4 linked regions of the Daphnia pulex genome follow. The protein of the gene in region 4 purifies or fractionates together with the protein of the main gene of each other region. This does not show direct contact. Links are inferred from orthologs where the notes say so. Each region holds a gene or a part of one and is shown on either strand. Other genes may lie near its edges.

What was found.
Region 1: the proteins of U6 snRNA-associated Sm-like protein LSm4 (region 4) and squamous cell carcinoma antigen recognized by T-cells 3-like purify together in Homo sapiens (affinity purification with mass spectrometry; 4 studies listed by BioGRID and IntAct, counting the BioPlex papers as one, with this or other methods). This does not show direct contact. The link is inferred for Daphnia pulex from reciprocal best matches to the Homo sapiens genes LSM4 and SART3.
Region 2: the proteins of U6 snRNA-associated Sm-like protein LSm4 (region 4) and probable RNA methyltransferase Y17G7B.18 purify together in Homo sapiens (affinity purification with mass spectrometry; 3 studies listed by BioGRID and IntAct, with this or other methods). This does not show direct contact. The link is inferred for Daphnia pulex from reciprocal best matches to the Homo sapiens genes LSM4 and MEPCE.
Region 3: the proteins of U6 snRNA-associated Sm-like protein LSm4 (region 4) and protein arginine N-methyltransferase 5-like purify together in Homo sapiens (co-immunoprecipitation; 3 studies listed by BioGRID and IntAct, with this or other methods). This does not show direct contact. The link is inferred for Daphnia pulex from reciprocal best matches to the Homo sapiens genes LSM4 and PRMT5.

The regions. Positions count from the first base shown.
Region 1 is NC_060026.1:14,701,747-14,710,503, forward strand, and holds squamous cell carcinoma antigen recognized by T-cells 3-like, read right to left. Parts: upstream 4,310-8,757; 5' UTR 4,148-4,309; coding exon 3,980-4,147; intron 3,916-3,979; coding exon 3,789-3,915; intron 3,729-3,788; coding exon 3,624-3,728; intron 3,569-3,623; coding exon 3,291-3,568; intron 3,237-3,290; coding exon 2,804-3,236; intron 2,731-2,803; coding exon 2,557-2,730; intron 2,495-2,556; coding exon 2,326-2,494; intron 2,265-2,325; coding exon 2,109-2,264; intron 2,050-2,108; coding exon 1,623-2,049; intron 1,562-1,622; coding exon 1,414-1,561; intron 1,344-1,413; coding exon 1,251-1,343; intron 1,184-1,250; coding exon 855-1,183; 3' UTR 797-854; downstream 1-796. Other genes in the region: cell cycle checkpoint control protein RAD9A-like, read left to right, coding at 1-4, 74-267, 324-643; zinc finger and BTB domain-containing protein 18-like, read left to right, coding at 4,516-4,736, 4,802-5,220, 5,289-5,563; putative methyltransferase DDB_G0268948, read left to right, coding at 5,988-6,098, 6,187-6,347, 6,414-6,624, 6,697-6,794, 6,870-6,996; uncharacterized protein LOC124203973, read left to right, coding at 7,984-8,135, 8,194-8,757. UniProt on the Homo sapiens protein: U6 snRNP-binding protein that functions as a recycling factor of the splicing machinery. Promotes the initial reassembly of U4 and U6 snRNPs following their ejection from the spliceosome during its maturation.
Region 2 is NC_060021.1:10,085,816-10,092,529, reverse strand, and holds the end of probable RNA methyltransferase Y17G7B.18, read right to left. Parts: intron 5,128-6,714; exon of another isoform or gene 5,057-5,127; 5' UTR 4,848-5,056; exon of another isoform or gene 4,808-4,847; intron 4,598-4,807; 5' UTR 4,570-4,597; coding exon 3,623-4,569; intron 3,549-3,622; coding exon 2,996-3,548; intron 2,918-2,995; coding exon 2,717-2,917; 3' UTR 2,392-2,716; downstream 1-2,391. UniProt on the Homo sapiens protein: S-adenosyl-L-methionine-dependent methyltransferase that adds a methylphosphate cap at the 5'-end of 7SK snRNA (7SK RNA), leading to stabilize it.
Region 3 is NC_060023.1:12,075,677-12,084,407, forward strand, and holds protein arginine N-methyltransferase 5-like, read right to left. Parts: upstream 5,748-8,731; 5' UTR 4,162-5,747; coding exon 3,977-4,161; intron 3,891-3,976; coding exon 3,772-3,890; intron 3,698-3,771; coding exon 3,483-3,697; intron 3,425-3,482; coding exon 3,020-3,424; intron 2,959-3,019; coding exon 2,750-2,958; intron 2,682-2,749; coding exon 2,559-2,681; intron 2,494-2,558; coding exon 2,318-2,493; coding exon of another isoform or gene 2,255-2,317; coding exon 2,051-2,254; intron 1,986-2,050; coding exon 1,783-1,985; intron 1,722-1,782; coding exon 1,590-1,721; 3' UTR 1,487-1,589; downstream 1-1,486. Other genes in the region: CUGBP Elav-like family member 1, read right to left, coding at 6,511-6,638, 6,714-6,971, 7,252-7,545, 8,249-8,314. UniProt on the Homo sapiens protein: Arginine methyltransferase that can both catalyze the formation of omega-N monomethylarginine (MMA) and symmetrical dimethylarginine (sDMA), with a preference for the formation of MMA.
Region 4 is NC_060026.1:5,479,418-5,487,589, forward strand, and holds U6 snRNA-associated Sm-like protein LSm4, read right to left. Parts: upstream 4,990-8,172; 5' UTR 4,845-4,989; coding exon 4,842-4,844; intron 4,776-4,841; coding exon 4,734-4,775; intron 4,675-4,733; coding exon 4,576-4,674; intron 4,461-4,575; coding exon 4,280-4,460; intron 3,432-4,279; coding exon 3,343-3,431; 3' UTR 3,161-3,342; downstream 1-3,160. Other genes in the region: metalloprotease TIKI1-like, read right to left, coding at 561-620, 704-838. UniProt on the Homo sapiens protein: Plays a role in pre-mRNA splicing as component of the U4/U6-U5 tri-snRNP complex that is involved in spliceosome assembly, and as component of the precatalytic spliceosome (spliceosome B complex).

The sequences.
Region 1 (8,757 bases), about 9.2 Mb from region 4:
GACAGTAAGCAATATTTCATTTTACTTGTGATTCAAAAGTTGCATCGATTATTTACGGAATTCCTTCTACCAGGCCTGTTTTGTTCAGTCTACAAAAGGATGACTTGTATTCAGCAGATTTTCTCCTTGCAACTCTAACGCCTGCTCTGGACACTACGGCATCCATTAGTTCGCGAACTGCCAAACACGAAATGTCAGTACAAGGCAATACCTCCAACCATCCGTCTCCTGTCCCTACCCTGAGGAATAAAACAGGTAACAAAACAGGCTTGAAAGGGAAGTCAGGATCTTGACATACATTGCTCTCCTCGTGAATTTTCTAGATTCCAGGACCATTTCGCGTGCCAATTTGGTCGATTCTAGGAACGGTTCTCGTGCAAGCACGACACACACTCGTTTACACACACCTTTGATACGACAAACGCCTGTTAACGAGGATCATACCCCACGTCTTAACAGTCTATCTCTTATCGAGCCCCATCCGTTTCCTGATATGGAAGTAGATTTGGAACCCGAAATTCAACCACCTCCTAATAAGAGAGCTCGGGCTCGCTACATATTTCAGAATTGTCTCAAGTTAACACAAGAATACAGAGAGCGACCAACTGAAGTCTTTGCTCCGGATTCAGAGGAAGATGAATAGCAAGAGACGAAATAACCCTTTCCCGGCTTTCCCCTCATCCAACGATTTTGTACATTTTTCTTTCGCCGAGTTAACTCAGTATTGTTTTGTGTCAGAATTTTGTAACGGTACATCACTGTATCCTATATAATGATCACAAAAGTTAAAGTGCCATTAAATGTTGATCAGTCCATTTTTTATTTATTCGTGCCATTTCAATGTCATTTTCAAATTATTTCTTTAGAAGCATGGACCGGAAATCGGCATTGCTCTTCGAAGCACTGGCGGGAACACTGACGGGTGGCGGCATGGTGGAAGACTGAGATGTCTGGCGAAGGACGGCGTTTGGAACAAACGACACTTGCGTTCTCCTTACCCGTGTTCCGCCACCCAAAGATAGTTCATCCTTGTCCAGGTTTCTGTCTTCGCGACGTGGAGGTGGATTGCTTAACGCAACCGTCAAAACTTTGTCCTGGAATGTAGTTCCGTCTGTCTGGTTCATAGCCATCGTCGCTGAAACTTCATCTTCGAATTCAACGTAAGCCAGACCTTTGGGCTTTCCTTTATATTTAATTAAATAGAAGTTAGTAAAGAAAAAATAAATTTAATTTAGATTATTAAACGCTACCGTTCCGTAACGTTACTAATCGAACGTCCTTCAGAATTCCAAATTTTTTAAACAGAGCTTCCAAGTCTTCTTTAGTAGTAGTGAAAGCTAAGCCTGTTATAACATCAAATAGATTTGGGATAAAAACAAATTAAGCTCGTACCTAAAGATCGCAAATACGTACCTTTGATAAACAGTTTTTTCTTTTCTAATGTTGACTGGTACTTGAAAGCTGGATGCTTCAATGCTGCGTCCGGTTCGCTTGGAGACATGAAAACCGGTCGTCCTTTCATGAGCTCACGGTCCCGCTTCAGAACTGCTCTCGCTTCATCCTAAGATAGTTTTAAATGAATTTAACGGACAAGCGTAGGAAATTTAATTATGGAAGTTTACTTGTGAAGAAAATTCGACAAAACAAAATCCTTTGCAACGTTGTTTGTAGTCCAGAACAAGACGTATGTCCGTTATGGTGCCGGAAGAACTCATCATGTTGCGTACATCTTGTTCAGATGTTTCGTAGGCCAGATTGCTTAAAAAGACCGTATTGGCATGACGGGAAGGATCGGTAACCGGTTTAGGAATGACAACGGGCTTGCTAGCAGGTTCGGTGGCGTTTACTTTAGGTTCAACTTTCTTTTTGGGAACAACTTTCGTACTAGTTGCTGCGGCATCATGGCTTATTTTAGGTTTTTTGGCAGGCACGGGTTTCGATTCTTTCGCATCTTCAATCTTTCCTCGTTTCCTACCTTTAGCCGTTTCTACTTCTTGAACCGTTTGCCCCTCTCTTTCTTTATTAACCTTCTTCATCCGAGCTTCACACCTGGCATATTTAAACAATTAAAATCAAAATTTTCAAAAGCTTTAAATTATTTTTCAGACCTCTGTTTAGCGATATCCATGGTTTGTAAGTCTCCTTCTTCGCGTTCAAATTGCAGCCATTGCTTAACGATCAACTCTGGCCAATCGGACGAAGAGACTCCATTTAGACTCTTCGTAAATAATTTGCGGACTTCTTCTTTATTGTTATCGTGTGTTCTGTTATAATAAGCATTGTGTTAATATAACTCTAATAGAATTAACTAATTAGATCAATAACCTTTCAAACTGAACACGAGCCAGCCACCACTGAGCAGATTTACTGTGTCCCCGGCTTATAATCTTGCTCCAGAGGTCTCGAGCTTTAGGCATATTATTCAGCTTTTTTGCTTCGAAATATGCCCAATATTGTAGCAGTGTACACTCCGGGTCTCCTTCGACATCATAAGCTACAAAACAAAAAAGTTATAGTTTTTATATTGGCGATTTCATTGGTCTTAGAAAAACTTACTTTGATCTAAATGTTCGGTCGCTCGTGTAAAAGCTTCACGAAGTTGAACGATGTTCTCATTGTCACTGTCACCCCATGTGCATTTTCGTACAAGGTATTCAATGAAACTCATCCAGACGGACAGCAAATCGGCCGCTGTTGCTAGTCCCGCATTGAAAGCCTTCTCTACTAAACCTGTTGAGTAAACCCTTGAATTATTAACGTAAAAAACAATATGAATGGTTATTATAATTCGCTATTTATCTACCTGCAATGAATCCATCCTCTTTTTTGTAGCGCTCGGCAGCCAAGATGTACTCAGACCAGATGGGTCCGTTCCACGGACAGTTGCGGATTGCTCGTTTAAAAATGGCAAAAGTGGTTTCTGCGGCTTTGAATTGATGATCGACGAACTTGCAATAATCGTTCCAGAATGAGTCATACAGCGGCATCTCGGCAACAATACGCTCGAAAAGTGCTTGAATGCGAGCAGGATCTTTAAATTCATTCATCTCGAGATCCAAATACGTACGGTAAGCTGCAACCTTGTGGTCGTTTTCAACAGCGATTATCAGGGTGTCTTCTATGGGTGCTATCTTTTCCATTTGTCCCTTTGCTTTGTCATAAGTGGCTTTGACATGTGGTTCAATTTTCTGATCCAAAATCTGAAGCCACTCATTGTATTCTGTCCAAGTTCGCTCCTGAAAATAAGACTTCAGTAAGAAGAACAAATCTACGATATTTAAGAAATTTACCATATCCAGCAAGGGAACGGAGAGTTGACGGTTGAACAAATGCGTGATTTTTTGGGCTTGACTGGTCTTCTCAGTTTCACTTCCACCTTTAGTTGTTTGATATATCGCCATTTCAAAATCGCGATAAGAATCCCACAGCAAAGCCCCCTTTACAACATGAAGTCCTCCATGTCGAATGGCTTCTTCCATAACTGCTCTAATTTTTTTCAATGCTTCAACACCTCCAATATCCATTCCAGCAAGACAAAATTGGATGTATTCCACCCAAATATCAATATCTGAAAATGATAATATTTATATTTTGAAAAGTTGAAAATTTATATTTTTATATACTTAAGTAGTCCTCTGTTGCCCTTTGAAACAGCAATTCAATTTTCTTTTTGTCTTCATCTGTTAATCCAAGTTTAATTTCATCTCTTAGCCAGTCAAGCCATAGTTCTAAATAAGAGAATAAGGAATGTAAAAAAAAAATTATCTAAATTGTTTATTAAATCTTACCTTCAGTCAGAGGATAAATGGCATGCATAGATTCTCTGGCATATCTCAACTGATCTAGTTCCCCAAGTTTTTGTAGAGAACTAATCAGTTCAACATGTGTGTTGTAGGCATTTGGAGATTTTGCGAGCTAAAAACATACAATTTTTTTAAAAATTGAACCAAAAAATTCACAAACATGGGAAAACACTTACTTCTTTTCTTAGTTCAACAATTCTTCTCTCGAGAACATAATGCTCTTCCCTTTCTTTTTCTGAATCATCAGAATCAGAGCTGCCTGACCCATTAGGGTTGTCATTGCCTTCAAAACTCATTTCTTCAGTCTCATCTTCCTCAGCAAAACCTTGCTGGACATCCATCATGAAGCTCTTTTTGTGTATGTGTATAAATAGAAGCACTTGTACTGTATAATTCTTTAATAATTCGAGATCGAGTTTTGGGGTTGTTGGGTTAATTTCAAAGACAACACAACATTACATCGATGTTGTTCGTATTCGGCACGCACAGCCTAGCGGCAGATGAATGAACTATCAAGCAGAAGACTTAAATCTTCACATGAATCACATCTGCTATTCTGCTTAACATTAATTGATTTGATTGACTGTTGAAAACAACACATCCAAGACGATCGCTCAACGAAATTCGAAATATACTTTATTTAGCTTTTTTAAAGAGTTGAAGAAATATATTTCCAGTGATTTTTAGACTTGGTTGACTCTTAAACAAAGAAATGGAAAACAAGACGAATTTTAAATCTCTGGACGATCTGTGGACTCGGAATTTGTTGGCCATGTATAAAAATCAATGTCACGCAGATGTAACTTTAATTTGTGAAGGAAAAAAAATTTTGGTTAATCGTTCTGTTCTCGCTTCGCTTAGCCCTTTGTTTAGCCAGTTGCTATTGGGTTGTGATTCCCATGTTGAGCCTGTCATTTTCCTTGAAGGATTCAGGTAATAGTCATTCCCATTTGAAACTTATTAAAAAATAACCATTTTTATCTTTTACCATTCAATAGTTATAAACCTATGGTCTGCTTGGTTAATTACCTTTACAATGGGATTGCTGAAGGATCATCAGTCGACTTGGTGACAGTGTCCACATATGCCAAAGAACTTCAAGTCAAAGGTCTTGTAAAATTACATGGGAAAGAACAATTCCAAGTGGAAATATTAGAAAAGAGAAAGGTTGAGGAACAGCTGCAAAAGCTGCAGTCGCATGAAATTGAATGTGATTCTGATTCAAGCTCAAATGAAGATGAAGATCTTCAAATAATTTATGAAAATGTTCAAGAATCTCTTCCCACAAAAACAGATGATTCAAATGAAAATTTGACCAAAAACACAGTTTCTTCAGAAATCAATTCTAAAAGGAAAAGGCAAATCTCCCAGTGCTCTACACACACTGAAAAGAAGATTATTTTAGAGCCAATTCCAGGTACAAAAATAAAATTGTATTACCAGTCTGTATAGTGATCACAAATTTGTCTATTTTCTTTACGGCAGAATCATCTAATAATTCAAAATCTGCTGTTGCAGTAAAAGCCCTCAAGTGCTCTATTTGTAAAGAGACATTTAATGCAAAAACAGAGTTAAGAAGTCATCTTGGAATTCATCATTCCGAGCAGCTGACTTGTAGCATCTGTGGAAAATTGTTTACCTCGCGCATTACTTTAAAGAGACATTTAAGGAGGCACATTTCTTCACTTGATGGCCTCCTTGGTTCGTTGTCACAGTGCCAACTTCATCTAAACGAGCCGTCAGATAACATCGCCAATTGACTTTAACTTCTAGTAAAGATGATCAACCATAACTGTAAAATTTTTATTGCAATTCTCCTTTTGGCCTATTGCACCAATATCCGTCTCAAGTAAGCATGTTATTTTCGATATTTGGTATGTGCACTACCCCTATATATTATTTTGAATAACTTAAATTGATTGCATTTGCTATTGAGTTCTGTGGGCTGATAAGATATGATAAAGATTTTCTGATAATTAATAATTTAAAAAGTCAATCGTTATGCATAATTGCGGTTGCGTATTTTTGTACGACGCCGTCTGGTGGCTGAAGCTCACGATACAATACAATAACAACAGTTTTGAAGTAAACAAAGTGCTGGCGGTAATATTTACTCCTTAAAAATATTATATTTACCATTTTCAAAATTCAAACTTAGTTTTAAAATATTCTTAAAGTGCAATAATGTCTCAGAGATATTTTGAAAGTGTCACACATGCTAATGTTTATGCTAAATTTCGCCCGTGTCCGCCGAAGCAGCTTGGAAATAGAATAATTAACTATCTTAAAGAAAAGGTAACTTGAAAATCTTTAGGGTTTGAATTTTGACCCAGGGCAGTGACTAAACTGAGGACACATGAAATTCCTGTTTCATGTTTTGCAGTATGAAGGGGAACTAAGCCTTTGTTTGGACGCTGGGTGCGGAAATGGCCAGAGCAGCAACCTATTCTCATCAGATTTCAAAAAGGTGATTGCAACAGATGTGAGTTCTGCTCAAGTCACTGTTGCAAAGACCATGAATCATCCATCCAACATTGAATTTCTGTAACATGAAGAATTCATTTTTTTTTTTTAAACCAAAACAACCAACAAAATGAATTTATTATTTAGGGTAAGCCCTGCTGAACAAATTCCTGCTAAAGAAAGATCAGTGCAAATTGTCAGTGCTAGCCAAGCATGCCATTGGTTTGATCTACCCCAGTTTTTTAAAGAAACTAAAAGAGTTCTTTGTTCAAATGGTATTGTGGCCTTGTCAGGATACACATTTCCTAAATTTATACATCCAACCAGAGAACAAGACTTTCAAAGGGCTTTTGATTTGGTACTAGATCTAATAATTTATGGTAGCCTAATTGTCTTGGACTATAATCTTTCTTTCTTGTTCTGGAAATAGCTTTATTACCAAAGAACAGGCCCTTATTGGGGAAGTGGTCGTGAACTCGTAGATAACGAATATTCTAATATAGTGCTTCCGTTTGAAGATTTCATAAGGTATCCTACATTTGAATGCTCCAGAATTTACTTGAATGAATCTTGAAAAACTTCATTTTTTTCATGGACATTGAGAGAGGAGTTTTGGACAGAGGAAACCAGAACAACTATTTCAGAGTTTGTTGGGTACATTACTACTTGGTCTGGTTACCAGAATTACTGCAAAAACCATGGAGCCCAAGCAGGAGAAAATTTTAACTGAATTTACATCAAGGTATCAAATTACATTGCTGCTTAAGTATTATTGTTCATCCCAACACCTTTCTTTTGTGTGTCTGACATTTGGTGACAGCTGCCTGAAAGCCTATGAGGACAATAAAGACGAGGGGCAGTTTACAATAAGACGTAAATATTTTTTGCTGATGGGGCGCAAAGGAAAAGAATAATGTCGAAAAGTCAATAAACCAAGGATGCTGACATATGTTCCATGAAAAGAAATAAAATAGTTTGATTTTAAAACATTGATTATTGGTGAGTTCAATATAAAGGGAAATGCAACTACAAGCTTAAACCATACAACTTTGTTTGAAGTTGAAAGTAAATGTTTATGTAACCGTGATGACCTTTCATCCGGATCTGTCTCCTAATGCCCCTATCCTATCTGAGTACTCGGTACACTCTGAAGGAACAGAAAACGTAAACAATTAAAGGGAATTCTTCGCATTTCGCCTGTCAGTTGTTTTCTGTTAGTACATGAAACATCCGTTAGTATGAATCGTCGCATAGTCGCTGGCCTTTTTCTTTGGTCGTTTTCCCCGCTAGAGCGATCATTCGGACGCCATTTTCAGGGGAGGGGAAAAATCACATTCTGGAAAAGAAGTCCGTCAAAGAGACTTGTTAAGCAGTGTTTCACCCTATATACATTCGCAAAGCGACCAGTGTTAAATAAGTTTTGCGTTCATGAAGGTCAGAATCCGTTCCAGCGTGTACGCCAAGGCAGATTGCCTGAACTTATGGTTGAACAATAACTTCAAAATTTGAGCAAGAGGGGCCCCACTTCAGCTCAGGCACCTGTGCCACTGCTATGGCACCAGTAGTGAACGCTCCCAATTCTGATAATTAAATAGAATTGGTCGTTTGAAACCCCGTCCTACCACTATCTGCATAAAAGTGCTGTGAAGTTTCTGGCAAGATGTCAAAGTGATTCCAGTTGGTTGCCGGAAACCCCCATTAATCAGCTGGAATCTTGATGGAGACGGTAAGATCTCTCCCACTGCCATCTCACAGCCCTGCAGCTAGCAGTCCACGAGTCAACACAATGCCATCCAGTTATGGACAGACTCCAACCAGGCTGCCCTCTCAATCTACTTCGGGACCATTACCGATTGCTCACATTGGAAGGTATCAAATCTAGGTTAAATTGAAAACACGAGGAACCGGAGAGATGATGCCATTGTAGTTCTGATTCCTTTTCTTCTTGTAGACCTCCTGTTCGACCTATGCTGGATGGATCACCATACAAAATGAGGTCCATGCCTGTGGCAGCTGGAGTCAACAGTGGCTTGAGTCTGGTGCCATCAGCTCATTTATTGCAAACGAGTCACGTAGGTCCGGCTACCGAACCTGTTACGCCTCCTCCACCTCAGGTCTCCCACTCGAACTTGTCGCAGGTGGCCCGTGCACATCCGTACGCTGCCGCTCTCCCTGCGGCTCCATTGCCTCCAAACAGCAGCGCCATGGAACGTTATTCTTCTGGCCAGTCATCGATGCCTTCATCATCGGGGATTTATTCCAGTTCGCCCACTTATAGTAGGGCCGAGCCCGCTGTTTTCCCTTTGCGATCGCCACCCGATCGTTCTGGGGAATTCCGTAGACGTCTTACCCTTTTGCCATACTCCGGACTGTCACCCATGGACTATGGCGGAGGTCCACCTGGGCTGAGTGGCCCTGGACCAGGAGGTGGAGGCAACAGCGGCGTTGGTGTTGTTAGTGGTGCTGCTTTAGGGGGTAGTAGCGGAGGAAA
Region 2 (6,714 bases), on a different chromosome or scaffold from region 4:
CTTAAGGACTTTGTCGATTGCCTCTGGCCACAATATCTGAACTTAACTGATAGTCCATTTTTCCTTTTCATTTGGTTAGCAACACAATTACTATTTAACTCAAGAGACATATCTAGTCAGTATGGCTTATATAGTATAAAATGGATTTGAAAAAAGGTTTTTCGTATACTAGTAAACTAGTTTGATGGAACTGCCGGGAACTACTGAGGATTGTTGTCACGCCCGAGGAATTATTTTGCAATACTTTTTCTCTTAACCGCATTTTGGGGTTCTGTTTACATGCTATGCAATATGCATAAAAACCGGTACAATGATTGGAAAGAGCTGGGGTTTAGTTTAATTTAGTTGACCCGTTTTGAATTCCTCCTAATCGGCACAGTTCAATCACAACGGAAATTCGGCGAAGTTTATTTATATTGTCTCTCATTTTCAGAGCCAGGACTTTTAACTTTGGAAAAACCTGTATATAGAGCCAAAGATATATCTCCCAGATATGGTTACTGAAAAGGCATTCCCATTGCCGTTCTTTGCTGACGGGCTAGAGTGCCCAGTGGGCTACGTGTATGCCATCAGCTTCTCAGTTTGCAAGCCGACTTAAGAGGTCTTGGAGTATTTTTGAAAATGGGATTTCTTTTAAAAAGCGGCCCCCTTCAACTTCTTTTTTTTTTGTTTTTTTTTTATTTTCCATTTTCACTCCAGTTCGAGGATCTGGTATCAATAAACGGAACTAAATTTGGTGACTCCGTTAAATCAAAGATGGCGTTAGGTACTGGTTCGAATGGAAAACATTTTTATTTCATTCGGCGACATTTCGCGATTCGCCAATTAAATAGCGAAATATCGTGAATGCATGTTTTACGCTTATTTGATATTGTATGACGCACAAAAAATTATTTTTTCAACGCAGTACGTGAACCTTATTACAAGATCCGGAACCTAAACAAACATTTCAATGACCTGGAAACGGAAATCTCAAAATGTAGATAAAAATAGGCATAGGCCTAGCGCTGTGTATACATTCCGTTGTGGATGTCAACGGACGGAAACAAACATTCCCGGTATCTGAATCACATTTGGCAACTCAACCTCAATTTTTATAAACCAACTCCAAATGAAAACAGATTTTCAAGTTGCAAACCCCAAAATTCCAATTGAATTCGACGTTCGATTCGGTATAAAGATAAGGTAAAAAAATTAAGGCTTACCTTTTCGTCGATAGTTTTTAAAAAACAGCAAATCCTTGAAAAATGTGAATTCCTGGCACTACTCAACATTTTCTTGTAGTAGGGGCGAGTATAGTATAGAAGGGATCCAGAAACTTCGCAGGGGATGTATACGGTTCACTTTTTCTTTCATTATCATCGTATTCTTCTCTCGCTTGTCTTATGGTGGGCCTGGGAGCAACGCAAACGGTTGTGTGTATGTTCTTATGTTTATCTTGCCCTGTGGGTCCCACCGTCAGAGTCTAAATACATATTTGCTTTTTTTTAAAAACAAAGAAACGGTTTGTATTTTTTGAAATATTACTTATCTACAACAATACCGGAAAGTAATGCCTTCTCCTCCCTTTCTTTCGTTACCCACACTTTACCGCATAGATATTTTTTTTTCGAAATTGGGATTTTCTAGGATTTTCCGGCCCATTCTGCAAGCAAGAAAAAAAAAAATAACAGACAAAATAAAGCATCTCGATTGCAACGGTTTATATTACACACACCCTTTTTCTGGTAGTAAGTCGAGTGGCCACTTCGCTTAGTTCTTGTCGAGTTTCGCCAACTATTTTGAAATTAGAAAAATTTAGAAATTCGAAGATTTATAGCTAGCTGTAACTTAAAAGAAGTTGGTTTATGACTGTAATACTGCCCTTTACACCTTTCAGATTGCGTAACTCAATGACGGTTTTTTCATCGTTGGCTTTGGTATGTAATAAAAGCTCTTTTTGAAATACGAAAAGATAATTATTTCAAGCTCAAACAGAACCAAACTGAAGAATAAAAAACATTAAGGGTTATCTTTTTTGTCTGTAGGGGGGGGGGAGGGGTTACTTAAACATCCCTTACCTCCTATTGGTCCGATGTCTGAATGACTGGCATTTCTAATGAATAGTAAAATTTTATCTTACTACAATACCGAAATATAACATTAGAAACGATTCTTAGTTACCTTGGATACTATGGTTAGATTTAAGGGGATGGCAACTAAAAACTTGTAGGCATTTCTATTTTTCGTCGGATATTTCTTTTACATCAGAGGATGGGATATCTGATTCTGCCCCTTCCTACAAAGCCTAATAAAACAAAACTGAGAAGTAAAAAATTTAGAATTTCTGTTACCCAACCCTTTCCGTTTCAAACGTAACATACAGATAGGTACTGTATCTCTATTGCGAAATTCTGATTCAACAGTCTTTTATTATAAAATATAATCGACTGTACATTATTGTGCTAAACGTATCACCAATCCAGCCGAATTCATCCAACAATGAAATTTAGTTGAAAAAACGAAACAAATAGATGAAAGGAAAATCTACAAGTTGGAGAAGAATTTGGAACAAGAAAAGGGTACACCAGAGATCTTGAAAACTCAAAGGAATACGTGAATACTTGCCGAACAGTGTAATGGTGAAAGCAAACAAGCGATTTCGAGAACGAAAATAACTGTACATGGTTGACGATACTGGCTAACATTAGCAATCGACAGCAGTCCCAGTTACTTCTCACCCACTGATCTCTTTGGGCGTTGTGGGGCAACTATTTGTAGGTTTAGTGAAAACATGGATCGGTCGACGAAAGCCTTTAGCAGCATGGTGTGGGGTAGCTATTTCTTCGCAAGTGGAAAATCCTACTTGGGAGAGCAAATAGTCGGAAAATCGCTCTGGATATAGCTGAATAGCCGCATAGTTTTCAGCAATTGTTTCCTTTAAAAATAGAGAAAAAGATAATTGATTAGAACAATTTTCTTAAGGAAAATGAAAAAAAGATATGTTGAAACTCACGGTCAGTTTCTTTCTTTTGTTGTACGAGGCCCAACCCTGCGCTTCAAGTATCAATCTTCCTCCTGGTCGCAAATGAGCAAAAATTCTCTGAAAGAAACGTTTGAGGCCGGCATCTTTCCAATTGAGATGAATCCATTTCGTGACCGAAAGACAAAGAATAGCATCATATTCTGGCTGGACCATTTGAAGGAATTCATCACTTTCCGGAACATAATTTCCCTGGACGAATGAAACGTTGCCTGGGAAGCGGGATGAAGAGGCCGACGAATGGGTACTGGGGATGGATCCGTACATGAGTGGCATGGAAACTGGAAACTGGCGTTCAGTCGGATGTGAACTTGAATAAGTTTTGATGTTCTTGCGTGCAATTGATATCAATTTGGGATCAATGTCAATTCCAACAATTTGTTTCGGGTTGAAGTCACGAGCTACACAAAGTGTGACGTGTCCTGCGTTGCATCCAATATCCAACACATCCTTGTCTTCGAACCATTCACGCCAAAAGGAGCGCAAGCGCAAATCCTCGCAATTGGGATTGCGGTAGCCATAATACCTAGAATATTAAAGAAATTTAGCAAAAAGAAAAAAAAAACAAAACAAAACAAAACAAACAAGCAAAAATCTTACCTATCGTAATTGCCATACTGAAATCTTTTAACTTCCTTTAGATTGTGAGATGAACAGCCCTGTTCGGGATTATTATTCGATTGACTGCTTCCGGCGATTTGACTTTCTCTTGAAGGGCATCGAGAAAAAGGACGCTGACTTTGACTTTTGACGGAAGATTCTTTAGAGAGGGATCTCGGGAAAAATCCAGAACGTTTTCTAGCTCCGGGTTGTGGAACTACAGGGCTAACAATTTTGTCTTCCGGCCTTCTGCAATGTCTAATTGGTTCAGGTTTCAGCTTTAGATCCTTGAATTCTCTTACAGCAGGTTCTGGCTTTGTTTCGATTGTCGCATGACTTTCAGTCAACTCAACAGCGACTTGCTTGACTACAGGGAGATCCAATGTGAGCGTGCTCAATTCGGGTGAATGTCGTCCAGCATCCAGTACTTCACTGGCGCTATTGGTCCTCCTTCTTTTACGGTTTCGTCCTCTCTTTTTTCTAGAGACGGCATTCGGAGATATTAACGCTCTTTCCGCTAAATTATCATCTGGCATACTCAGGTTTAAAGGATCCCTTATATTTGATGGAATTAATACTTCAATTTCTTCCTTCCTGTGTTTAGGGGTTGGTAACGGAGAGGATTCTGGGGTATGCTCATTCAAAGCTTTGTTGATTCTTTCATCTGCTAGACTGCCCAAGTTCAACGGGTCTCGACTATTGCCTCCAAGTAGAAATTTTGTTGGTCTCACAAATTCTTCCTTGCGTCTTCTCTTGAAGTGATGTTGCTTGCTTTCAAATGAAAGACTGAGACTTCTTTTGCGCTGACTGCCTGTTACTGGTTTCACCATTTTTTTGGGACTGACAAAATGTGGAATAGCTTCTACAGGTCTGTCATCCCCTTCTGCAGGAAAATGCACCCGCTTCATTTGTCCAATACTGAGAGAGACTACTTGGGTTGATGCCATGATGTTTCATTAAATTTGCTTCAGCAATCTGTAAAAAGAAAACAGCTTTACAATACACACATCTCTCTGCTTAAACATTGACACACTAAAACATTGCAATTTTAGAAGTTTTTAATGCAAATTCTAAATAATTTTCAAATTTAAATAAATCCACACGCTGTGCAGCATCTAGCGGTCACGCCAGAAACCTCACATCATAAACGTATTTTATAAACAAAGAAAATTAACTATAACCTACTTTTTTGGCTCCAATACAATTGGAAAGGATGAGTTATTACCTAGAATTAAAATTGAGTTGGCAAAAGTGATGATTTGTGTTCCAATTTCTGGACAAGGTGTATCCTGAGCAACCTTGTCTATTCGACGTTCTGATGCTTCTGCTCCTTTCTTTGCGTTCAGTCCCCATACCCCAGTAATAAATACATCCCCTCTCTCATAGCAGCGTTGCACAATTGGCAAAAAAAAGCACTGAGCATTACATGTGTACCTAGTTTAAGAGAAACTGAATTTGCGGTTGATCGAGAATTAATTGCAGTCAGGTTATGCGCTTATGGAAATCCAATATTATTGAAAAATTCTATAGCTTAGTAATAGATAAAAATTAGACGTGCATTTATTATGTACATCAAAAACTAAAAGTGACGGATAACGTAAAAAACTATTCGTTAAAACTTCATAAAGTTGTAAGACATTAAAAAAAATTTAATCCATATTATAGTGCAATTTAAAAATACTTCAATTTCAAGCCATGTCGACGAACATGATGAATGATTTTATTTCCTCCTATTTGACTTAATTATGTGTTAAATTGTGAATCTGTTACTACTCAATATATTTTGTTGTATCTTATAAACTCGGTTAGGTTACTGTAACATTTCTAGGTGTACTTCCTATAATCGAATTCAAAATTTTTACTAAATTTCTGTTTCTGTCATGCAGGGAGAAAGTGACATCTCCTACGTATGCAATTACTAATAATTACGCATGCATCTGTTAAGACTTAAGAATGTAAAAACGAGTTATCCAAGTTTATTAAGAATGTAAATAATCTTGCCATCATGTGATTCGTAATCATATATAATCCAATCATATATTGGAGATCTAAATTTTCCAGAATTCGATTCAGCCATTCAGGTACTCAATAAAAACGTTTTGTTAACGTTTCGTTCCACGCCATCTAGTTTCGGTGTATGATACTATGATCACTCCATCGTTTTCGTATAGATGGCGAAATTTTTAGTTTTAAGTATAAAGGTGCAATTTGCAGCAGCTCAGCAAGAGGATTAATGCGGCACGAATAAAAGAATCGTCTCTTGTCGCATTCGTAGGACAGGTATACACGTAACATCTTTCCATTCCTCTAAAAGTTATCTCACAACTTAATTCCAAATAAAAATTGCTTTATTGAATTGCTGATCTTTTTTGATAATTTGATTATGTTCATGTTTGTTAATTGTTGTAGAAAGCCGCAAGCATGAGCGTACATAACACCGCAGCACCGTTGTGCATTGTTGCATGATTTGCTTTATCCTATTATGAATTGAAATAATTCTGCCGTGATGGTTCTTACCACCTACTTTGGCTACCGTGTCAAGTAAGTTTCACATCAAAATAAATTTGAATTTCATATTTGCCAATGTACGCACAAGTCTTACATCAAATAGGTTTGTCACATTTGTTCGTGGGCTGAGTTAAATTGGTCACTGATTGCATCTATCAGTTGGTCATAGATCTTATAATTCTTCCTCGACAGAAATTAATTATAGCAATCTGAAAATCTGGTCGGAGTAGGGAGAGGCCGATAGGGATCTAAAAGGGAATATAAGAAATCAATAGATGGCGTGGCTCATGAAGTAAAATGCCACAACTTGTCGACTGCCTGCGTGTTTGTTATACACATATTACGAATATACGTCACACAATCACACCACGTACACGACATCTATCTACCCATTCTCTTCCCCCTATTTCGGCGTTCGGCATACTGGCTTCACCCTTATAGTAATAGCTAAACAATGTTAACTGTAGATGTTTAAAATCATTCTCTTGATTATTTATCTCTTGATTCTCCCTTTCAATATTTAACCTAAAATTTCTCAGTGTTATAATTAATTAGTTAATCTTTATAATGCGGTAATTCTTTGT
Region 3 (8,731 bases), on a different chromosome or scaffold from region 4:
AAGTTGTGGTGCACTAGTCTTGGGCCTTGGCGGTGTAGTATCCGGTTGTTGCGTATGTTTTTGTCGTGCAGTAAGACGGGCGCGTTGCGGTTTGGTATCCGCCATACCCACAAGACATCGGTACACCCGTAGTCGACCCAACCATCAAGGATACACCAACCAACAGCAGAACGACGCCATAGTAAACTGGGGGTAAATAATTTGAACATTAATTTCATCAATAACTGGCAAATTAAAAAAACAGTACAATAAATAAATTGATCCAAAACTCACGTGGAAACAGAATATTTACAATTTGGTTGTAGTGTAATACTCGGTGGCCTTGGCGTAGTAAACAGGAGCCTCAGTTTTGTAGTAGCTTGAAGAGTAGTACTTGAGAGCGTCGGTGTAGTAGGCTGAGGCAGACAACTCGGTTGTGTAGTTCTTGGGAGCCTCGGTGTAGTAAGTAGATGCTGCGTATGTTGACTTCGTTGTGTAGCAAGGCGGAGGCGTTGCTGTTTGGTCTCCACCATACTCAGAAGACATCGGTACTCCCGTGGTCTCCCCAGCCATCAACGATACAACACCCAACAGCAGCACGACCCACAGTTGACTAAACAGTAAAGAATTTGAACATTAATTGTCAGTTAGAACTAGTAAATTAAAAAACTGAAAAATATGGAATGATTCACAACTCCATGTTATAAAAAAAACTGAATGTTTACCCATGATTGCAAACTGATAATGCGATGAAGAAGGCAGTTGGAGACCAATAGGGCTGCAGTTGTTCCCGTGTCGGAGACGCTAACTCGACTGATCACTGTGGCCTTTTCTCTCTCCTTTTATACGACTTTTTCTCACCCTTACCTCTCAACTCAAGCCTTGCGGCAATTGTTCCTACTTGCTAATGAAGCAACACGTGTCGTTCTCACCCAACCTCTACACCACTGCATGAAAGTTTTACCAAATTTCTGTAATGATCTCCGTGACCTTCGGTTGAATGACATACAAACTGGCCTTTCCTCCCGCAGGTTGACGTAGCTGGGGATGGGTTTACAAAAAAACATTATCAAAATGAATACCAAATGGTTATGTAAAACTTTCCGTTCTTACCCAACCTCTACACCACAACATTGACAGTTTTACGTAATGATCTCAGTGACCTTCGAAAGTGAAGGACATGCAAACTGACCTCTTCCTTCTGCAGGTTGACGTTGCCGGGGATGGGTCTACAACAAACAATATCAAATTAATACCAAATGACTTAAAACTCACTTTATCCAAATTGACATTTAAGTAAATTGACTCGTTTTTTCGGTGAATGAATAAATCTTCCAATTCGAACCGTTTGAAGGATAGTCGGCTTTTTTTGAAGATATCCCACTGCAACCTTATCTATGTTTCAAAAATATGATCAATTCTTATTCATTTCATGATTTGAACACAGTTGAGCCTTGTTAGAAACCTTTTTCCTTGGCCACTGAGTTCTAAAAAAATTGCAAAAATGTTAACACTTGAACAATCCTTGTATTCAGTCCCATGATGAACAAGGGAAGAACTAGACACGAGTGGAATCATGATTATAACAATGCTTAGTTATTAAGTTACATTTAGAGGCCAATATTGTGCGAGCGACCCAACGGATTGTGAATGGCACTGCCATGAGGTTTCGTCACGCACCATTCGTACCAGACGTGGGTGCGGTTGACGCAACGCCAAAAATGAATCTCGAGAACGTCTCCCTGTAAAATTAAGAAAAATTTAAAATGTTGTCTAGATATCGGGAGAGACAGTTGAATTTACCTTCTTCAGACTGATGGGATTCTGGATGGGGAAAAGAACTGGAAACCAACTGAACATTCCAGGCGAGTGTGTTGCAGGGTTGATGGAGAGCATCACATCTTTGTAGAGAACCGTTTCAAAATAGCCGGCAAACCCGTGGAGCATAGCATCGCATTTAATAGGAAACTTCCGCACTTCATAACGGCTGTTGTCAATTGGCATTTCTGTCAAAGTCAAGTCAAGGATTAAAGCAGAAATTCAGAGCTTTTTAAAACAATTTTTTCCTGACCTCTATTCGGATGAGTAAATGTAAACAAGGCCTGCGGATCAGCCAGTTCTGTCCTGTTGCGAAAGTGAACGACGTACGACATCTCGAAAGAAGTGAAGTAAGGCTTGTCACGCTCCCGACAGGATCGCACTTCATTGAACAATTTGGAAGACTGGATTGGTCCCAGAAATGAAGTGTAGCTCGAAGGAATGCTGATCCCGTCATCTAAGAATGAAATAAAAATGAGCAACAAAGTATTCCACCAAATAACGACAATGTCACGGGCACCTTTCAAGAATTTTTGGGCGCCGTCCAGACACTCTGGCGATAGCTCGTTATCTCCAAACGATCCGAGCAATTCCGAGACGAGGATGTCTGCCTTTTCAGGTGCATCCCAGTCGCGCATATCACAAGAAACGATAGTCACTCGATCCCCCCACTCTTCGTCGGCTAGACACTGCAAACTATTGAATGAAAATGACTTGATTAATACGAGTCGAGTGATAACATTTCTGCGGCAAAACATTACGTGACTATGGCGTTGGGATTCTTCTCCACTGCGTACAAACGAATGCGACGATCAGCTTTCTCTGCGGCAGTTAAGGCAGCACGAACTAAAGGACCTCGACCGGCACCGACAACCATCAATGTTCTGTTATTCAAAAATAATTCAATTACGACGGAGATCTCGGTAGAAAAGAAACAAAAAACAAAACTTACATGACTTTCGTGTCCTTTTCTTCCAACGGGACTTTATCCAGGATGGCCAGATACATCGCCCGCTGGTATTCGGTGTATTTCACGGGATCCTTTTCAAATACTTCGTAGGTCTGAGACTCGAGATTATCCATCAAAGGTTGGAGAGGAAATTGGAGAAAGTCTTCGTAACCTTGTGCAAATCGCATAACTGGATCTGATTCATACCCAACCTACAAGAAAACACAATATGATGATTGAAAAGGAAAGTAAGCGATTGTTGTTTCCCCTTACTTGCCACAAATGCTCAATATATTGTTGATAATGCTTGTAATGTTGGTGGCGCTGAGCTCCAGTGATCAGAATTTGCGTCTTCTGGCGTAAAAACTGACGTATGGCCACTTGGTGGGATTTGGGAAGAACTGGAAACCCTTTCTTGTTGGTCATGAATAAATGGGTAGGAACCACAAGACACTTGATTGGCTCTCCCAGCCAACGATCAATGTCTTCAGCATCAGGCAAATCAGCTGTGAGTTCCAGGGCCAGTGAGAGTTTCTTCTCAAAGTTTGCAGTAATGCGAAAGTTATTCCACCAATGCCAAGTATCATCAACTTCTTCTTCATCCACATCCCTTTCAAACAGACTAGCCTCAATTTTCGGGGAAATCATGGGGAGGTGGAGCCAAACATGGTACCTGGCCTAGGCACAAAGTGATAATTGAATCGTCTGCAAAAAGAAAATATTGGTAATGAAATACCTGATTCATCGGTGAAGACAACACTTTGTTGTGCATAAATCTGGCAAAATTTGTGTTGTTCTTTCTCAAGGGGACAAGGACAGCGGGGAGACCCAGATGTCCAGCAAAGGACAACTCTTGCTCCAGCATTTTCTCAGATTCTTGCCGCAGCAACTTGTCTTCATGATCCAAATCAATGTGTGGAGAAATCTTTCCAACAATGAGCGTGCTCCAGTCTTGAAATGAGATCATTCAACTTTCAATTAGGGGATCACTCGGCACACATTTATACTTTTTTTATCTTTTATACCTGAGCTGTTCAGAATGAGATCAGCTCGAGTGAAAGCTGAGAGACGTCGAGCTTGAGAATTTCCGGAGAAATCTCTTTTGTGTCTCGGATGGGCGATTGGCAGTGCAGCGAAATCATACCTGACGAAATCAAAAGTATTACGCTGTTAGCAACAAGTGACTGGGGCAATTTCTTGTGAAATTAATTTCGGGAATCAAATTAATACTTGGATTCTGTGGCGATTTGTAGAGCATTTGTAATATCGGCAGGGGAAACGAAATCGAGACCGCACGAAACACGTTTTGCCATTTTTGTAGTCGGTCTTCTGAGTGGCTGCGTTGCCAGATTTCTTTTCTTAAAAACGATTTTCGCACACCTACTTTTGTTTTTTAATTTAATTGAAATCGACATTTATTTTAAAGACGCTAATTTAAAATATTGTATTAACTGTTTCACTTGGCTGCCATCATTCGGGAGGGGGGAAATCATCATAAAAAACGGGCAAATGAAATCGCTCTGCGACATGCTGAAACACGTTTAAAGTATTCCACACCAAATATTTCCAAAAAAAAATCGCAATTTGTAACATCAAATTTTTGTCTAAATTTGCGGTGCAAACGTGAAAAAAATGAAACAAAAAAAAAAGTCGTACAAATAAAACAAAAATAAAATTTGGCATCGTCGATCCCACCCGAAATTCAAATTTCTCTTCTTCTTCTTCTCTCTCGCAGGAACTTGTCTAATTAGAACTGAAAAATGAATACTACAAACATGACTACCATCAACAAGTGCTCATTAGGTCACGAGTTTGTGTGTGTTTCTTTCAAAAAATAGACACGGGCGAATTTCTCTTGCTGGCGTCTTGCAACATAATTGTTTTAGTTTTTCTTTAAGTATCGAAAAATGTCTGACGCTTCAAAAATCGCCAACCGTAGTTGTTTTTTCTCAAACGAAGGTAAACGTGGGAAATGGGGTGTGAAGAAAAATATGAAACGACGAGATCTCACGTGCCCACCAGACAACAACAACAACAACAACAGCAAACAACTCCGTCACATCACTTTTTGCAACACAACAAAAAATTTTCACTTGGAACTTGAACAAAAGACAATCGAATTAAAAGAAAGAAGAAAAACACAATTAGAGATATACAAGTTTTTGTTTAGGTGCTTGTCAAGTCCTTTTTTGGGGGATAACGTCCACCTGGTTGCCAAAAAATGTTTGCCGGTCCTTGCGAAAAATCTGCACGTCACACTGACATTTGGGATCATTTGATACTTGTGGTAAATTGGCCGTCGGACGTGTGTGTGTGTGTTCTTGTTGCATGACTAGGGCGTGCGTCTGTACGTGTCACTGCCGAGGAAATTTCGATCAAAAAGAACAAAAAACAAAACAAAAAGGCACATGTAGGTGTCACGGCGCCACACCTTGTTTCCAACATCTTGCGTGTTGTTGTTGTTGTTGTCAAACGGTTCGAACAGAAATGAAGAGTCGATGGTGGGTGGTGGTGGGGGAGGTATACACGTTCGTATTTTCGAATTGAATTAATGTCACTTTTAAAAATTAGAAATTAATATAATTATATATAACCTATACGTGTGTGTGTGGGTGAGACTAGCTGATCACTACATCCATGTCGAATCAACATCGAAAAAAACTAAAACAATCAAAAGACACACAAACAAATGGGACACGGAACATAATCAAACATAATCCAAAAAATGGAAAAACTAAAAATAAAAATTGAAGAAACAAACAAACGACATTTTGGCATCTGGCCTAGCTGAATTCTTCTTTTCTTTTTTAAAAGGGAGGCAAACATGAAATAGCTTTCTTTTTGTAATCTCTCTACAATAATTTGGTAATATACTATGATTCAACATAACAATTAAAGAAGAACAAGACACGTGTAAATGAAAAACAAATAAAAGAAAAGAAGCGGATGAAATATTCGTCCGCTTCTCCGACGACAGAGACGCCAAACAATTGTTGTGTCTATATGGGGGACGACAAAAACACACGTACGAGACACGCAGGGAGTAAGATACACGATGAAAAAAAGAAAAAAAGGTTTGACAAACAACGTGAAAACGAGAGGAGGTTTGAAATTGTTTTTTTTTAAATTTGTGGTTGGTTGGTTGGTTGGTTGTGGTGCACACACGGACACACGGACACAAGGAAACCTAGAAGAAGAAGAGAAAATCAAATCAAAAACAACATTCGATACGAGAGACGAGAGACAAAAACGTTACAGCTAAAACATGTAGTCAACGACAAAACCCTGAGATAGACTAGAAAATTTCAATCATTTGAATTTGAGCGGGAAAAATGAATCGAGAAGAATTCAAAAAAAAAGGTTTAAATCAATTTGTTTTCTCTATTTGTGAAATATTTGTGAAATAAAGAAATTTAAGAAGAACCAATCACATGATATGTTTATAGGCTTTGCACTTTTTTCCATAAATGTGACTAGGTTATTTGGTCGCATTTCAAATTGAATAATAATAATTATTTTTAAAAAATAAAATGAAAACAAAAAAAATTTAAAATTCCCAACTTACTACCAAGAAAGGGGGAAGGGGCAAGGCGTGTTTGTCCAGTCATTTGAAAATTGTACGTTTCTTTTTTTTTGTAATGGGGCGGTGGCTTGTTGCGTTCAGTGACATCAACAAAAAAATATTTTTTTCTTTTTTTAATTTTTTTTTCGAATTTCAAAATATTTATTTCTCTCCCCCCGAGAGTTTTTCTGTTTCTTTTTTTTTAATAAGGTTTCGAGGCGTCTTTGGAACGTTTCAGCTGGACTTTGAGCCGTTTGGTGCCGATTTGAAAGCCGTTCATGGCTTGGATGGCCGCCTGGGAGCTCATCGGGTTGTCGTACGACACGAAACCTAAAATAAGAGAAATAGAATTCATCAAAATTTTCCGATTAAAATATAATGTCATGTCAAATTAAATGGAAATACCGAAACACTTTGACAAATTGGTCTGCTTGTCGATAAAGACTTTGGCTGATAGGATGTTGCCAAAGGGCGAAAAGGCTTGACAGAGGTCCGTGTCGCCAAACTCTTGCGGCAGGTGGTAGATGAACAGGTTGGATCCTTCCGGCCCTTCCTGCTGGCGCAATCCGCTACCCGTCACGCTGCCGCTGCCACCCAGGGGACTGACACTCCCGCCGTTGGCGCCATTCATCCCCACCTGGCCGCTAGTGAAATTGGGGAAAGCTAAAAAAACAAACCAACAAATAAATCAATTTTTGAAACGAAAAAGGAATGCCGGAATGCCGGAAGTGGAAGAAAAACAGGTGAAAAAGAAGCAAAGTGACGAAGAGTGCCGGATGATTTTTATGTTGTTGTTTCGTGTGTAACTTTTCCTTATGAAATTATTTCAATTTTTTAAATTTTGGCGCTTTTTTTCCACATTGGAGAAATGATCATCTCATTTTGCGGAATTGCGGAATTGCGGAATTGGGGGTTTTTGTTTGGAGAAGGGGCTGGGCGGCACCTGTAGTGAACTGCTGGATGCCGGCCGTGTAGGCGTTGGCCAGGGCTTCGAGATTGGCGGCGGCGGCGGCTGCCGCAGCGGCTGCCGACGTCCCCAATCCGTTGATTCCGGCCGACGTCGCCGTGGCTGCTGCTGTTCCAGCTGTCCCGCGATTGTTGACTAAACTCTGGTGGTGGTGTTGGTGCTGCTGCTGTTGTTGTTGGCTGTTGGAATGGGACGGTTGTGTGGCGGCAGCTGTGGCAGTGGGGCCAGCGGCCACCAGTTGATGGCCCAGCGAATTGCTGGCCGATCCTCCTATCAATTTGGGTGTCAGATGAGTCGGTTGTTTTTGCAAGCCGGGCGGTTTTTGGGGAGGGAATTTAGGAGTTTTGTTCTTTTATTTTGTTTTAAATGTCCCAGTTTAAATCCCATTCAAAGTCCAATCAAACCATCAAAACATGCGACATTAAACAACAAAAGCATCAACCCCTTTCTGTCCCCCATTTGATCTATGAATGGATCACCGTGTTGTTTCCGTCACTTGTCATTAAGACGGGCATATATTAAGAAAAGGCATTCCATTAAAAAGAAAAAGAAAACCAAAAAGAAATAGCCGAAAAAATGATGACAAAAAATTTAAAAAATAATTGAGGGGGGCAATTTGAGTTGATCATTTCTCTCAAGTGTTTTTGTTGTGTGTGTCTTGTGTGTTTCGTGTCTGTGTGTGTTCCGGCACAAACAAATCGATATAAAAAAACAAACAAAAAGCCAAAATAAAATTTAAGAAATAAAAAGGTCATCAAAGCGAATAGAAACGTGCACAAGAAGAAGAAGAAATCATTCCGTTATACAATTCAGAGAGACGAGAAATTCAATATGAAAAATGCCATTCCCCATTCGTGTTTGGGTAGGTTGTTGTGCACACACATTTGATAGCTACAACGAATTTGAAAGGTTTGGTCTCGTCGAGAAAATAAAAATTCGTTTTTTGTGTTGGTTTTAGTTGTTTTTTACTTACCGACAACTGGAGCCCAATGGCCAGCTGAAGCTGTCACGGGTACAATGACGTCTCCGTGCGTGAAAGCTGTTGCGTATTACAACGTCATTTTGGGTTGATGAAAAAAAGGTAGAGGTTTGGGTGGGTGAGAGAAATACGGACCCGGAGGAGCAGGGGGGTAGAAATGGGCAGGCACCACCACAGCATAGCACACCACACACCCAAATATAGAAGAGCCAAATTGCAAAATACGAGAAAAGAGATCAAAAAATAAATCAAACAACCAACGAAATCAGAAAAATAATTTCCAATCCAATTTGAACCCTAAAATGCATCAAATATTTAGACAATTTTAGCCCAAAAATATTTTTCAGCCAAAATTGTCTTTTTTAAAAATGGAAAATCCAACGGGGGGGGGGGGGAAGGAAATCAAGAAAGGACATGCACCGGTGCAATTGAAATAGTCGGAATCATTTGACACGCCCTCGGCAAAACGACATTCAA
Region 4 (8,172 bases):
GCGTTTTATTGATTGGCAATTTTTCCCATCTATGCAGCTAATCTTGTTTCAAGAAAGTCAAGAAATTAGTCCTGCCATAAAACACGCATTTTCTCGACCGAAGAACCAGTACAGGTTTTTTGAAAAATTCCTTCTCTTCCTCCTCATCCTCCCCCCAACCTCCCTCTTCACTTTTCTCTTATGGAAACCAAAGTTGGGTATGGACAAAGTCTCATGTGCGAGGGGGGACGTTATAAGGCCGTGTAAGTGTGCTCGACATCTGAATCGAGCCGTCACTCGCCTACACCTTGTGTTTTCCTTGCGGGGAGTTGGGCACGCGCATTACATTCAACATGGCCGCCAAAAGTTTGGTGTGAATTGTAGGCGGGAAACACGTATGATAATACCCGAGTGTCACCCACAACACACGGTTAGTCCTTGCGTTGGACGGGTTTCCATTTCAATCTAGCGTTTCATGTTGTAGCCTGTTCGCTTGGAGCTTCTTTGACGACAATGGATTAGAGCAACGGCAAAGCGTGCGTTGGATACAAATAATTGTATCGAAAATGGAATCGACTTACGTCAGGTTTGCTGCAAGTTTCCGGGCGCTTGTGTCGCCTGCCTTCTGTCGTATCAATCCACTATAAAAAGAAGAAACCACAAATGAAATTTTGGGGGGGGAACAAAGTGTGTTAAGGCTATAATATAAGGACGAGTATCATACCACTAATGCGAATAAGAGAAGACATTGGAGCACTGTGCGAGTTCGACGAGTAGTGAGCCTGCTGTGTTTGTTGATTGACCGATGCGGCTGGCGAGCTCCGTCCACTCTATTTCTATGAGATGCATGATAGGCCATAATAAAGGTTCATAATCGGCGCGAGGACACCTTGTTGAAATGAGATAGTGAGAAACGCGGGATGCTCATGGCACGACCTGCGGGCGTCTTTTCGATATTCACAACACGCGCCCAACATGGCGAGATTCACCAAATAACACGAGACCGCCGACAGCAGCTACAATGACGAGGAGAAACAAGCATCATATACAAGAGTCAACACAACACTACACTACTACCAGAACTCTAGCTCAAGACTAACATGTAACTATGGAGATGGCGGCAGCGCGCGACTGCCCGACTGCGCATCCAGTGCCATCTGGCGGTCACATTTTCTACCCCACTACAATAACAATTGACCCATTCGAGGAATGCGAAACCAATTTTTCTCAGGCTACCTTTTGCTGTCTTTCACACAGATAATCCCCCCACCCCAATCAACAACAATTGGCACACACAAAAACTTTAGTTCACGTATATAGGAGGTTAATTCATTCACTTGGTCAGTTTGGGCTATTCTGGGAATGCTGTATAAAAGACAATGCAGAGCGAAGATCCTACGGCATTCGAAAGAAGTGGAAAACTGGAAACAAAGAAGGAATCATTTTCTTTACAATCTCTTGGGGGAGAATTTGAGAAGTAGGAAAGACGAAAAGCTCGAAAAAAAGAAAGCATCGTAGTAAATCTATTGACTGGGCGTCAAAAGTCGGAACTTTTTTTCATTTTTTACAAGGGAGGCCTATTTTTCCCTCTCTCCTATTTGTAACGTTCTCTTCCCCTTCGCATCTGTTTCCCCCTCACTAAACCAGCAGACCCCCAGACAGCAGCAGCAGCTTCAAGCCCTTCGTTTCCCCATCGTTTCATTTCGTTTCTATTTTCCAACTGAAATCCCCTCGCACTGGAATAGGCCTTTTTTCATAGGGGCTTATAGCTTTTTCACCCTTCCGTACGACTTAGAAAAAGGCGCTTCTACGAAAATTCCTTGAAGCTATTCACTAAACTTTTTTTCTCCATTCAATAAAAGGTCTTTAGCGAAGGATTTCGACTAACGCTCTATTCACGAGTTTCTAGTGTCATGATTTTGTCCCCATATCAAGTCAGAAGAGAGGATGTTGCCCTTTACTAGAGGGTATCGCCGGGTATCGCCTAGTGGAAGAACGCAACTTGACTATGCCTCGGAAAAACAACATTTAATTTATTATCGAGGCCCTTTGCTTGAATGGCGCTTTTGAATGTTATGCGTCGATTTAATTTATAGTAACTGGTTCCTTTTTTGGTGTAATTCAAGGTTAATGATTAACACTTTTCACCCCTACTCGAGTCTGACAACGTCGCATATAAATACTCTCCTTCAAGGTGAACATAATAAATAGGCCTTGAATAGATGGTATAGTAGAAGAAAATGACTTTATTGTGAGATCAATTAACTGTTCTATATTAGCCATTCTTTTCGTCAGGGAGTTTCCTGTGGGTTTAGGACTGGCAAAGTTAAAATGTGTTTGGCCCTTAAAACAAGAGTCAATTGCTGGTTCGGTTCAAGGTAGGGAGGGACAAGAAAGAGAGAGTGAGGGAGGAAAGAAAGAAAATGTCGAAAACGAAGAGAGATGAAAGCCCAAGTTGGGCTTGGCTGCGCGAACAGCAGGGGCTGCGCTGGCTGGCTCCGGGCATCTCGTTGCTGTTGTATCCGTGCATAGGCACAGGAGAGAAATGGAGATTGGAGAACTAATTGCATCTCCTGGGTTTTCTCGTGTGTCTATCACCCCGTAGATTCCTTAGCAGCAAGAGATCTCTCTTCCATCGGTTATCTATTGTTATATATTTTTTTTCTTCTCCGGATACGCAAGGCGAATTTACTATTGCAAACGTCTGACAAATAATTAAGAACTAAATCGTAATTACGAGCTAATTGTATTTTACGTTCGAATGCAACTGAGCGAGAAAATGGAAGATGTATTATGGTGTCGCTCTAAAATTAGTGGTATGGCTTTTGCTTTTGTACTGAATTTGGTGAGCATTCAAGTTCAAAGTATCTATAACGCAGAAAGTATCTATAACAAACGAAAAACTTTCATGCTTCAAAATATGTATACACATTTGACATTTATTAAGCGCGCCGAACTTTCTGCAAAAACAAAACATTTGTTTTCATTCGTTATTAAAAATGGGCATCTGAATCTTCTGTGCTAACAACGATTTTCGCTGTCGCTTTGCCAGTTGGCAACGAACGATCCGACACATCCACTCTTACTACGCCGCACCTACTGACTTATGAAATATGCAGCAAAACAGCTGAAGGTGCAGCGTGTTATTACAAGTCCACAAGGGCTTCTTCTCTTCTAAATATTTCAGTTTCTTGGTGTATTTCAGCCTAAAGGTTTTATGGGCTTATTTTAAGCATGTAAAATTAATGTGAAGAGAAAGAATGAGATAAGTGCTTCCATCTTTTTATCAAAACAGAAAGCGTCTCGAATAAATCAAGACTTGGCCATATTTTTATTTTCATACATTCATTCTGACAAGTTTATTTACTTTCCACGGGGTTTATTATTGCCACCACCACCACCACCACCTCGTCCCGACGGCGCGCCTCGACCTCTTGAAGCACCAAAAGAACCTGATGGTCAACACAAGAATAATTTTATATCATATCAATAGGAATATGCATGCTCCATATTATACGTCAACGAAGCCTATATGTTTTAAAATAAAAATATTAAATAATAAAATTAAAATAATCCCATCGATTCAATCAATCATTAACTATTAATTTGAGTTTGACGCACATTCGTGTAGCTGCGATAAGCTAACGCTTAGTAAAAGGAAATAATGTAAGTTATAATAATGTACACGACTGAGAAACATTACCTAGGTAGTACTATACTTCATTAAACTGTAAACTTTTTTTGGAAGGTTAAAATAAAATATAAAAAAACGTGAAAAGATTAAATAATTAATTTTATAAATTCCTATTTTTAATTAATATTAAAATTAATTTATTATCAGTATTCAAGTAAGAGACGCGGCATGTACCTCTTGAAATAATAATCAATAAAAAACAAATTATAAACCTCTACATAGTAGATAGATTTCATTTTTAAACCATAAGAGCAGGCATTCCTGAATGTGCAGATAGGATGTTTAGCTATTCATTCGTCAAATGACACGAAACGACGTAATTTAAAAATAAAGCTACGATATACTGAACATGATTCTAGAATAATGAGATTAACAAGAAGTCAAACATACATTAGTTATTGTACAATCATTTGAGCATTAAGTGATTGTACTATATTTATCCCATTGGACCATTATCAGAAAATTTTGTATAATACTGTTATAACTTGGTACTTGTTCAATAATATTCATGACTAAAACAATATTAAGACTACGAATAAAATTGTTTTGTATACCCCATTAACTTAATTGATAATGAGTGAGAAAATTTTGGCATTTAAAACATACCTCTACTACCACCTCTGCCTCCTCTTTGGGCTCCACCTCTTCCTTTACCATCACTGCGACCACGACCTTTTGCAACTACTTCTTCCTTAACCATATCAATGACTTCATCTGGAATTCGAAGATATTTGATGGTACTGCCTCTAATGTAACACTCAGGCATTCTCCAAAATCTGTCACCATCCTAAAGAAATTGTATTTTTGTTCATTAAATATTATATGTAAAACCTTATGATCGTATTCAAGAATATCACTGACAGATACAGATGACGGAACTATCTTAAATGAAAGTACTTTACCTTGGAGGTGCAAATTACTTCTCGTAGATTGATGTTCATCCAGTTATCACAACTCACCAAGTGGCCATTGTAAGTCTCCCCATTTTTCAATTCCACTAACTGTAAATATTGAAACACTAGTTTTATTGCTGTAAATAACAAAAGTAAAAAATGCTTACCATGGGATGATTCTGGGCTGTACGTAGTAGCGACAAAGGTAACTAGATAAATAAATAATTAAATTAATCTTCGATGATTCGGTATGAAGCACAAAACTCAATAGTTACCATAATTGATTTAATATTATTGTTCTCGATATGTTCCAATTAATAATTAAGAAAAAGGTTTCTCCTAGGTTTTAAGTGGTTGGAAAATGGAAATCAAAGATCAAAGATTTATGAAGCAGAAACACCATCTATCGTGCGATCGGCCAATCCTTTACACCGCGCCACAGCGGGTGTGTTGGGAAATGTTATAAAATAGGCGGCTGTGTTCGGAACGGTTCCGAATGGACAAGATCAATCAGGACCAATAATCCATTAACGTATAAACCCGTAAAAACGTAACGTAAAATAAACCATTAACACTGCGCTGATCCTGAACGTTATTCGCGATACATCAGTAACACGTATTGTATTGACTATTGACGCAGCCGAATAGATCTTATTGCAATTCAAAAGTACGCGACATAGCCAAAAGTCGTGCGAAGCTTACGCCAATGCGTACCACTGTGGCGTATAGCCGAACTAGAAATTATTTTATGCTTGACTAATCCTATACTCCCTCCTATACGACAGAGGATAATTATAGAACTTGAATTAACCTTAATTAATTTAATCTAGTTACCAATTGATCTCATCTGGACGTGGAGCAAAATCAACGGACCAACGGTGAGGCTTAAAGATAACAATCAGGCTCGAGCTTTCTGGGATTGATCCACATCGCCAATTGGGCCTATGATCTTGGCTTACCCTCGCTGCTTGAATGTTTGAGGCGAAGGTTATAAAAGCTATTCCAACTGGTCGTTTGATAGCCTAAATGAATGGCAAAGTAGTGGTTACTAGATCACTATTCACTACGACATTAAATTATTTTAAAAAATATACCTTCAGTTTTTCTTGATCAATAAGTGACGCAAGTTGCCTTTCTTCGCTCGTGTAATATATACCCCCTATACGACGGAATTTCCGTCGTATAGGAGGGAGTATGGCAGGGAAATCATCTTTATTGCTCTGAGGTGTGTAAAATAATGTACTCTAGACCTAGATCAAGTATTGGTGGCACCAATGGTGAGAAACGGAAACGTACACTTAGTGTACAGAACAATAGCCAGAATTCTCTGACCGACATGTCGAGAGAAGACATGATAATATACTAATAAAGGATTTAAAAGAGGAAAGAGAGACGCTCATTCAAGAGAAAGAGTGCATTATCAGTCATACTAAAGAGATAGAAAGTGAGCTAACCAGCATCAAGGTTAAAATTGCAAATAGGTTCTTGAATGGGTTATTCGGTGATGGGCAGCCGACTAAGGAGAATGAGCCACCTAGTGGAATGGACTCGCAGCTAGGTAAATCCTATGCGGCAGTGGCCTCGAAGTCGGTCACCATCATTGCTAAGCTAGATCCGGATGTGGACACGAGCAATTTTATCGGTGATGCTATGGATGAGTTCTTTAAAAGTAATTCGGAGTATCTGACGCTGCAGTCTTTCACTAAGAGAGACAATATAGCTCGGTTTAAGTTTAATAACGACGCTGATGCCAAAAAGGCTAAACAGTTAATGGAAGCGGATGGAAAAATAGAGGCGTCCTTAAAATCTGTTTCAGAACGCAAAATAGAGTACCCGATAGCAGTCTTCGGGACTGGGATAGAGAATCTAGAGGTTCTTAAAAAAGAGATGGAGTTTAGAAATGAAATATTACGTGGTAAAATTAATAGAATCAAACCGCTCTCGAATTAGAAAGGACACGTCAAAGATTTATGGCACATTCAAAAAGTGTGAAGAAGCAGTAATCCAAGCTAGGAAAATATCAGTTAAAAATGCCGCAGGTGAGTTAAAAGAGAATAGAGTAGAAAAAGCTAAACTGGATTTTGAGGTGACGTATTGTTACAAATGTAAAAAACTGGGCCATGTCACGTTTAAATGCACAAACAAATCGGCAGCAGAAATCTGTGACCGGTTCGCAGAGTCGCACAAAACACAAGACTGCATCCATCCAGACAACAAGATGAAATGCGTGAATTGCAAAGGTGCACACAAATCGGGTGACTTTCAATGTTCAGCGCACATTAAGGTGGTGGATAGACTGAGACAACTCTTAGCCTAAAGTATGAATCACAATAACAAATCACTTTCATGTTTACAGATTAATCTGCAGCACTGTAAAGTAGCATCCTTAAACCTGAGTCAAGTTTGAGTAGAGCTAGATATTGACATAGCGTTAATTCAAGAACCTTACGCCATAACCAATAAATTTAATAATGAGTTACTTATACCAAATATTCCTAGTAATTATACGGTTCATCATAACTTAAATAAAGAACATGCTTTTGGTGCAATAATTCTGGCTACAAAATTTCTTATGGCTGTAAATATAGCAGTGCAAAACCTAAATAATTGTGTAGGAGTCCATTTAAACAAATACCCTGGTCTAAACTTTTTCTCTGTATATTGCCGACCGTCTCTGAGTCTAGATTATTTTTTGAATCTTATAAAGACTGGTCCTGACTTAGAGCGGTCTGTATAATAGGCATGGATTCTAACGCAAAAAATAAGTTATGGAATAGTAAGTCTACGGATAAAAGAGGTGAGTGTCTGGAATCATTTACTGACCAAAACAAGTTAAATATAGCAAACGTTCCTGTTTCCAAATTAGAATACATTCCCCAGATAACAGCGATGGTGGACGTCACTCTCAGAGGTGATAATACCAATATTTCAAATTGGCATTTTCCCAACGAGAACAGTCACTCTGATCATCCGATCATTCTGTTTCAAGTGGCTGTGAAACAACCAAAGCGTAGTACAGTAAGTAAAATAGTGCCAAGAGTAAAAAACATAGATAAAATGAAATGTCTTGCTAAGTTGGAAATTAAAGTTAAAAAAAATAGAAGATCAATTACCACTAATTAGTTCTAGAACAACATGGCCTCTCCGACTTAAGACAATAAGGCTGTGTCTGAAACTTTTTCATGTAACAGACAAAGCCATGTCTTAAATTTTCCTTCTTTTTATTGCATTGCCTCCTTATATTTGTTATACATTTATTTTATCCCTTTTCAATTCACAGCATAAAATTTTCCAAACGTTAATATTCCCTTTCATAATTTTCTAAAATTTTGCTGTTTCAATGGTATGGGTTACATAAAAAATTTCAGACACAGCCTTATCTTAAGTCGCAGAGCATATGTTGAGGGTTGTATATTTTGAGAATTTTTTTCTTTTTAACTTAGCATTTCTTTAAAAAACTTAAACCTTAGCGTAAAGCAATTATCAAGTTTACTTCAAATCTAAGAATCTTTCATTTAAAAAATACTTCAGACAAAGCAACGTCTTAAGATTTTATCTATTTTTACGAAAGCGTTATTGACATGTATTTTGGGGGATTATACAAAT